Linked DNA regions of Mus musculus. The protein of the gene in region 1 purifies or fractionates together with the protein of each later gene. This does not show direct contact. Links are inferred from orthologs where the notes say so. Each region holds a gene or a part of one and is shown on either strand. Other genes may lie near its edges.

Evidence for each region.
Region 2: the proteins of Tgoln1 (region 1) and Galnt2 purify together in Homo sapiens (affinity purification with mass spectrometry; 3 studies listed by BioGRID and IntAct, counting the BioPlex papers as one, with this or other methods). This does not show direct contact. The link is inferred for Mus musculus from reciprocal best matches to the Homo sapiens genes TGOLN2 and GALNT2.

What each region holds. Positions count from the first base shown.
Region 1 is NC_000072.6:72,614,199-72,618,343, reverse strand, and holds the start of Tgoln1 (trans-Golgi network integral membrane protein 1 precursor), read left to right. Parts: upstream 1-1,343; 5' UTR 1,344-1,621; coding exon 1,622-1,667; intron 1,668-1,894; coding exon 1,895-2,820; intron 2,821-4,145. UniProt on the Homo sapiens protein: May be involved in regulating membrane traffic to and from trans-Golgi network.
Region 2 is NC_000074.6:124,230,220-124,234,194, reverse strand, and holds the start of Galnt2 (polypeptide N-acetylgalactosaminyltransferase 2 precursor), read right to left. Parts: upstream 2,802-3,975; 5' UTR 2,669-2,801; coding exon 2,546-2,668; intron 1-2,545. UniProt on the Homo sapiens protein: Catalyzes the initial reaction in O-linked oligosaccharide biosynthesis, the transfer of an N-acetyl-D-galactosamine residue to a serine or threonine residue on the protein receptor.

The DNA of each region.
Region 1 (4,145 bases):
AGTGTTCTTAAGCACTGAACCATCTCCCTAGACACTAAAGATGTCTGTTGCTGTTGTTTTTCAAGACAGAGTTTCTCTGTGTAACCCTGGCTATCCTGGAACTCACTCTGTAGATCAGGCTGGCCTGATTCAGAGATTTGCCTGCCTCTGCCTCCTGTGTGCTGGGACTAATGTTGTGTCCCACCATCACCTGGCTCTCTAAAAAAAGTTTTTTTAAGTATATTTCTTTTAAAATTCTATTTTGTTGTTTGCATTATAAGAATGTGTTGCTTGGGCTGGAGTGATAACTCAGCAGTTAAGAGCACCACTGACTGCTCTTCCAGAGGTACTGAGCTCAAATCCCAGCAACCATATGGTGGCTCACAATCATCTGTAACAAGACCTGATTCCCTCTTCCAGTGTCTGGTGACAGCTACAGTGTACTCACATATAATAAATAAAATAAACCTTAAAAAAAAAAAAAAGAATGTGTTGCTTGTGTGGTGTGGTGGTGCATGTCTTTAACCCCAGCACTCAAGAGGCAGAGGTAGGTGGATCTCTGTGATTGCAAGGCTAGCCTGGTCTACAGAGCGAGTTCTGTTAAACAGAAGAACCCTGTCTTGGAAAGAAAAAGAATATATATGTGGTGAATGAGACAAGAGTGTTTGTCTAGTGTGCATAGAACCACGATTTGATTGCTAGTACCACATAAATTGGAGACACAAGCCAGTAGTCCAGTAGGAAGATCAGAAACTCAAGGTCTTCCTGTTTGAGTAACAAAGTACCTTACTTCCTGGATTGGAGAGATGGCTCAGGGCTTGTTGCTCTCCCACAGGAACAGAGTTCAGTTTCCAACACCCACAGAGTTTGAAACGCTTGAAGCTCTAGCTCTAGGGCATCTGATGCCCTCATCTAGCCTCCAAGAGCACCTACACACAGGTGGCAGACACACATACACAAATAAAAATAGTAAATCTTTGATATTTTATTTCTTAAATAAATAAATAGCCCAACAGGGGCGTGGTGAGGCACCTGTAATCCCAAACACTCAGGAGGCAGCAGGTGCCCACATAGCAATATGGTTTCAAACACATAGAAATTCAGAAGAACAAACAAGAAATCAAAAACCTTGGTAAATTCAGAGGGCCCTGGATACAGCCAAGAAAGGGATTAGGATCAGGATGAAATGTGTTTGCTTCTAGATGGGCAAGTGCTGAAGAGAGTACATTTGTTTGTGAAGTGAGAAAGCAGCATCGGCAACGGAGAGGTTGGAAACACGAGCAGAGGATGCGACAAAGAGGCGCCCGGCCCCACGACCCTACATCATAAGCAGCGAAGGCGACGCAGCACCTGCCGGTCGCAACAGCTTCCGAAAAACGAGGCCAAGTGAACAAGAACGAGATCGCCGAGCCCCGCAGACTGCTGAGAAACAGAAGGGACTTGGGGGGGAATAAAGAGCTGGACTTGACTTCCGGCACTCTACCGGAACACACAGACAACGGCTGCTGTCGCCCGGTAGCCCCACCCCTAAGGCGGGGCTGCGCCGGAAGAGAAACAGTCCGCCGGAAAGGGAGGGGCCACGCTCGGGAAAATCTCGTGCGCCGCTCTCACGTCATCAGAGGGCGGAAGCGCAGACTGCAGGATGCGGTTCCAGGTTGCGTTGCTCCTGCTGAGTGTCGCGGTGGCGAGTAAGGACCCCCACCCCAGCCCAGCTCACTCTCCCCTTTAGGTTCCCCATTCCTCACCTTGGTGGGTCGCTACGGGAGCCGGCGTCTTTCTTGTCTGGCCCGACCCTGCTCTAGCCATCTCCGCTTTCCCATTCGGCCATCCCCGCTAGGCTCTCAGAAGTCAAGCCCGCTTCTCTTCTTCCGAGGACTTACTGTTTTTTGTTTTTTGTTTTTTCTGTTTGTTTCAGGAGCTCTGCCGTCCGTTTATAAGAGAGACGCCGACTCAGGTGACTCTCAGAATCCTCCGAATCAGCCTTCCAAACAGTCCTCCACTCCCCTGCCTTCTTCTAACCAGGTAAAGACTACAAGGCCGACCGACGGTCAGGGGCAGAAGTCAGATAAAAAAGACCAGGACAAGACGACTTTGGCAGCAGTTTCCAGTAAGGCGGAATCTGGGCCGCGGACCGCCGCGACCGATCACAGTTTGGGTGATTCCAGAAGGCAGCCCGAGAAAACGGATGCCGAGTTGAACGAAACTGCGCGGCCCCTCTCACCAGTCAACCCCAAACTGGAAAAGTCTGATCAGAGCTCCACAGAAGATTCAGGCAAGCCCACAGGAGGTAATTCTGGCAAGCCCACAGGAGGTGATTCTGGCAAGCCCACAGAAGCTGGTTCGAATAAGGCCACAGAAGATGATTCTGGCAAGTCCACGAAAGTTGATTTGGACAAGCCCACCTCCAAAATCTCCCCAGATACGGAGACTTCGAAGACTGACAAAGTCCAGCCAACTGAAAAAGGACAAAAACCAACACTTACTTCCAAAACTGAATCTGGGGAAACACTGGCAGGGGACTCTGACTTCTCTTTAAAGCCAGAGAAAGGAGATAAGTCTTCAGAGCCTACTGAAGACGTGGAAACCAAGGAGATTGAAGAGGGTGACACAGAGCCGGAAGAAGGCTCACCACTTGAAGAAGAGAATGAAAAGGTGCCGGGCCCTTCCTCCAGTGAGAACCAAGAGGGGACACTTACAGACTCTATGAAGAATGAGAAGGATGATCTTTATAAGGACAGTTCTGGAAACACCAGTGCAGAGAGCAGCCACTTCTTTGCATATCTAGTGACCGCTGCTGTTCTTGTTGCTGTCCTCTATATTGCTTACCACAACAAACGAAAGGTAAGAGGGGACTGGGATTTCCAGGACCCTAAGTTCTTTGTTCATGGACAGCTATCTGTCACTCATCTGCCTGTGAGCTTTGAGAATTTTAAGATCATCTTGTTTTTTCCATAGACCCTGCTGGGGCTTATAAAACTAAGTTTTGTAAATCAGGTGTTTTCATCATGTGACTTGTTTCCTCTCAGTTCTGCTGTAAAGTGCCAAGTTGGACGTGAGTCATGACCTGACCTAACTGTAATTCCCCTCCCCTAACTTGGAACTCAGATCATTCCCAGCCTCTTGATATGTAGACCTCTTCCCCCTTTTCCAGGCTTAAGATAGTTTACCATTTCTAGCTTCTATACCAACCATCTTCCATCTGGAGGCAGGAAGAATGTTTTCAGTTACATAGTTACTAACACCAAAAGTAGAAAGCCAACCAACAAGAGTTGAAATTGCACAAATGTACACATCTTTGGGGTTAAAGTGTTACCCATGAAACAACTTTAGAAACAACTCTATATGACAAAATTATTGTATTTCCTACTGAGCCATGAGATTTAGAAGACAATTTCAGTAACTTGACTTATTGAAGAGTTCAATTTGTGATAGCCTTTGGGCATAAAGAATGGAGAGTGTACATTCTTCATTTACATCTAAATGTCCATGTTGAGAGCAGTAAATTAGAGAAAAGTTGTTGAAACAATGTGTGGGCACAAAGCAAGTGTTTGTGGATAGGAAACAATCAGTAATTATCCCCACCCTGCTTAAACCTAGAACTCTGGCAAAAGAACTGGTAGACCTTTAACTCTAGCCCCACAGTTAAGCCATAAAGATTTCCACGGGCCTCAGCCTCCATCTCGTGGTCCTTTTTTTTTTTTTTTTTCAAGACAGGGTTTTTCTGTATAGCCCTGGCTGCCCTGGAACTCACTCTGTAGACCAGGCTGGCCTCGAACTCAGAAATCCGCCTCCCTCTGCCTCCCGAGTGCTAGGATTAAAGGCATCACCACCACCCTGCTCTCTTGGTCCCTATTAAGTAGTATAAAGGATTTTGTTATAACCAAACCCTTTTAAAATCTTTACAATTTATTACTTTTGTGGTGTTGGAGGTTGAACACAGGTGACCTGCATGCTAGACAGTTGTTCTACTATAGTGCTATATCACATATCACATGCTTGGCACAGCATTCGCCTAGTATCCACAATGCCACGATTGCACTCCAGCACTGGAAAGAAAGTGTGTGTGGGGTGTGTGTGTGTGTGTGTGTGTGTGTGTGATTTAAATAGGCCTCTCTGTGGATCTAGGTAAGTGCTTCTGATTTCAGGAACTGAATGAAGTACAGCAT
Region 2 (3,975 bases), on another chromosome or scaffold:
AGCTGACTTCCTGGGTTTTGCTAAATGGAGAACAGCAGTTCTCAGACTTGTTGTTTAGCAGGCAGGGCACACAGTGCACAGCCTGGCCTGGCTGCTGAAGCAGCAGAAATCCTAACAGGATGCCCTCAGACAATCCCCAAAGCACAACCCTGAAGCCTGGGGCCCCTTGGGAATGAAACAGCAGAGCATGAAGAACTATCTAAAGATGGAACAAGAGCCCGCTGTGATCAGCACCAAACACAGAAGAAATGCCATCTACTTATCGCTAAAAAAAAAAAATCTACAGGCTCTCAGTAAAGCTGCTCTTCTTATCCTCACAGTCATGTTGTACACGCTAAAGGAATCGCACATTTTCTCTTATCAAGGGGATGAGCTAAATGTGGAGAGTCGTCTAGTGTTTAAACCCACTAAGGGATCCAAGATGGCACTCCACAGTTTGGCGGCATCCTCTGTCTCTCTCTCAGGATCCACCTTGCTACCTCAATGGGAGCACTACTGAAATTTCAAAATCTGCAGTTTTCTTTTTTAAGATTTATTTATTTACTATATGTAAGTACACTGTAGCTGTCTTCAGACACACCAGAAGAGGGCATCCAGTCTTGTTACAGATGGTTGTGGGATTTGGTTGCTGGGATTTGGACTCAGGACCTTCGGAAGAGCAGTCGGTGCTCTTACCTGCTGAGCCATCTCACCAGCCCCAAATCTGCAGTTTTCACAGCACTCCCTTGCCCTGCAGATCACTAAACCATGATACCCTGAGCCAGGACAACATTTTATGGCTCACTGACAACAGAACCCCAGGTCATTGATCTGCTCTTTCTATAGGGTCTCCATCGGATCACAAAGAGGTCTTGGGCTTTCTTCACACCTAAAGCTAATACCTCTTAGGCATCCAGAGAACTTTAATGAGGAGACAAGCCAACTGCTTGCCAACAGACACCCCCAGAGGTAGGGTGACATCCCTGGGAGGCTGATGCCACAGGTGCCTTTCTACATACATACCTGTGCTGATCCAGGACTTCATCTTTGTGTGACTAGGAAAAAGCATTGTCAGCAGCCAGGGTATTCCCAAGGCGAGGGAAGTCTCCTGGGGAAGCAAAGTCCGTACACACCACACTTGCTCAGAGTCACCATGGTTCTCAAAAACCTGGCTGCTGCCACCAGCCACGCTTGCTAGACTTAAACCCTAGCAAGCAGGGGCTCCCAGCACAACAACCATTCAGAAAGCAGGGCTAATGAGAGTCAGTGTCCACCCCACACAAGCCAGGCACAGGGAAACACTGTTTCCATGTTCGTTACTGAAAATAAAAAACGAATCATGAACCCCTCCCAGAGTCAAAAAGACACTTCCACCTTCCTCCCTCCCTTCCTTCCTCCCTCCGTACCTGCAGCTAGGAATAACTTGAAGATGCCAGAGAAAAAGGGAATCAGCCATGTGCCTTTGACATTCAGTGTCTGAGTAGGGGTAAAGTCGGCGGCTGCTCATGGGCAGTCCATCCTACTCAAGATTCTACCCCCTATCTCCCTAAGCCGCGATCTACCTCCATTCTTTTCTGGTCGTGTACTGTTACTCAAAATCAAGTAAGGAGGGCTACAAATCTTTGGAAAAGATAACTATATTTCGAAGCTCGTTAGCTAGTAAAACACCACAAACCCCTCAGGAGAGAATACAACAGCCTAGACAGCACCAACCAAGGCAAGGATCCCACGCTCGCTCGGTGTCCACTCGGTACCCAAGCCGAGATGACTGCCGAATCAGAACCTGTAAGCTCTAAGACTCCCGGCCTCACTACCGAACCCACCAGAGACACACACCGAGGAGGGACTTGGGGTTAGGAAATGCGGACTTGGGGTTAGGAAATGCAAGCGCAAAAGGCTAGGTAGTTCCCGCCGCCGTGAGCGGCCAAGGGCCGAGGTGGGCAGTGTAGCAAGTAGAACGGGAGGTCTGACAGAACCACGGTACGACCTCACTGCCGGGGTGCTGGATGGGGAGGATAGGGAGGGATCACGCCTCTGATCACTGGAGCACCAGGGTTCCAGCCCGACCAAGGTCCCCAAGATCTGGGCGCAAGACGAGAGGGTCGCGGGTTCCAGTTGGGCGGAATGTGGCTCGGGGAGCACCGGGTTTCGGGTGACAACGATCCCCAAGATCCCGGAGCAGGGAGTGGGGCTCCGGGGTGATCTGGGCGGAGTACGGAGCAGGGGGCAGGGAGTCCGGCGGAAGGGTTGTCCCTATGATCCCGGCACAGGGAGTGGAGCGCAGTGTCGCCAGCGAGATAACAGCCTCCAAGATCCTGGCGCAGGGCGGTACGTGGCTCCGGGTGCCCGCGCCCCGCATGCGGGAGGCAAGTCGCTGCACCCAGAGCCGCGGGTGAGCCGGACAGGGCCGGAGCTCGCGCCGCTGGCCTGAGGGCCCGGAGAAAACTTGAGGCGCGCGTCCCGGCCAGGGTCCCCACATCTGCTGCCCCGAGCCGGGGAGCACTCTCGGTGCACGGCGCCTCCCCGCTGCAGGCCCGGGTCGGCGCACAGGCCTCGCGGCACTCACCTTCCTGCCGGCGCCGCCCCCGCCCGCGGCCAGCGCGGAGCCGCCCCCCGAGTACATGTAGTAGGCGATGCCCAGGACCCAGAGCAGCGCGAAGCACAGCAGCATCCGCGAGCGCCGCCGCATCCTCGCTCTGGGCGGCCGCCGGGCAGCCTGGCGGCGCGGCGGGCGGAGCGCGCGGCGGGCGGAGCTCGGGGCGGCGGCGCGGGAAGACGCGGCGCTCGGCGGGCGGCGCTCGGCGCTCGGCGCTCGGCGCCCGGCAGGAAGCGGCGGCCCAGCGGCGGGGTCAGGGAGCAAAGGGCGACCAATCGACGCTGAGGGGCGGGCGCGGGGGCGGAGCCGAGTCTCCATGGCAGCGGCGCCCCGCCCACTGCGCGCCCCCGGGAGTGGCAGGTGGAGGCAGCGGGCGCGGACGCGCGGTTCCCCAAAGACTTGGAATGGGCCAGTCTGCAGAGATCGCCCCGGCCCGCCATCCGTCACATTCACTATTTGGGCAATAGTGGGTTCTTGGGTTTTTATTTTTTATTTGTGCTTTCTCTTTTTTAATATAAGGTCTCATCCTATAATCCAGACTGACCTCGAACTCACCATCCAGCCCATGCTGGCCTCAATCTCGCAGCACTCCTTTTGCATCAGACTTCTGAGTCCTGGGATAACAGGAATGCACTGCCCTGTGGTCTGAACAAGACTAAGACAGGGAAGGTAGATTTCAAGGCGCTTGCTTGTAAGGATGACCCTTCCTGCTCTTAAAAGCAAAATGGAATGGTGGTGGTTTTAAATAAACGTGAAAAAGAGGGGAGATAGATGGTAATTTATGTTTTTAAATCTTTTCGGTTTTTTATTGGTTGCTTTCTTGAAGGAATGAGGTGAGCATAGTAACCCACTTAATAGAGCAGGCAGCAGCGAGTTCCCTGACAGCAGCTCTGGTGACTGTAACCTTGTCCATGACCTTGTGACTCTAAGTCCCTGTGTCTGGAAAAGAATTTCCAGTACTTGAGAGCCTGCAAATATTTCTGAGATCTGCCCACACTGCAGGAGGAAGGAACTCCCTGGGCGGCAGTCTGCCCAATCCTGAACAAAGAGCACCGCAAGCCTTGGGCTACCAGGATTCTGAGCCTCACCTGAACTTCAGACTTCTCAGAAGTGAGAAGGGAAAGCCTCTTAGTTCCACCAGACACCCCATTCCTGAAGACACCCCATTCCTGAAGACATCCCATTCCACCAGGCACCCCATTCCACCAGGCACCCCATTCTGCAAACACCCTTCACAGAAGACAGGTTTCTCATACCCTAAGAAGTTCCGTTCCAAGTACTAGAATCCGAGCACTGTACTGACCAGGGAAGAGATTTGTAAAATACTGAAGAGATGACAGGCTTGAAAACACCCAAGAGTCTTGGGGACAGTCAGATAAGTGGGAACAACTGTTGCCCCT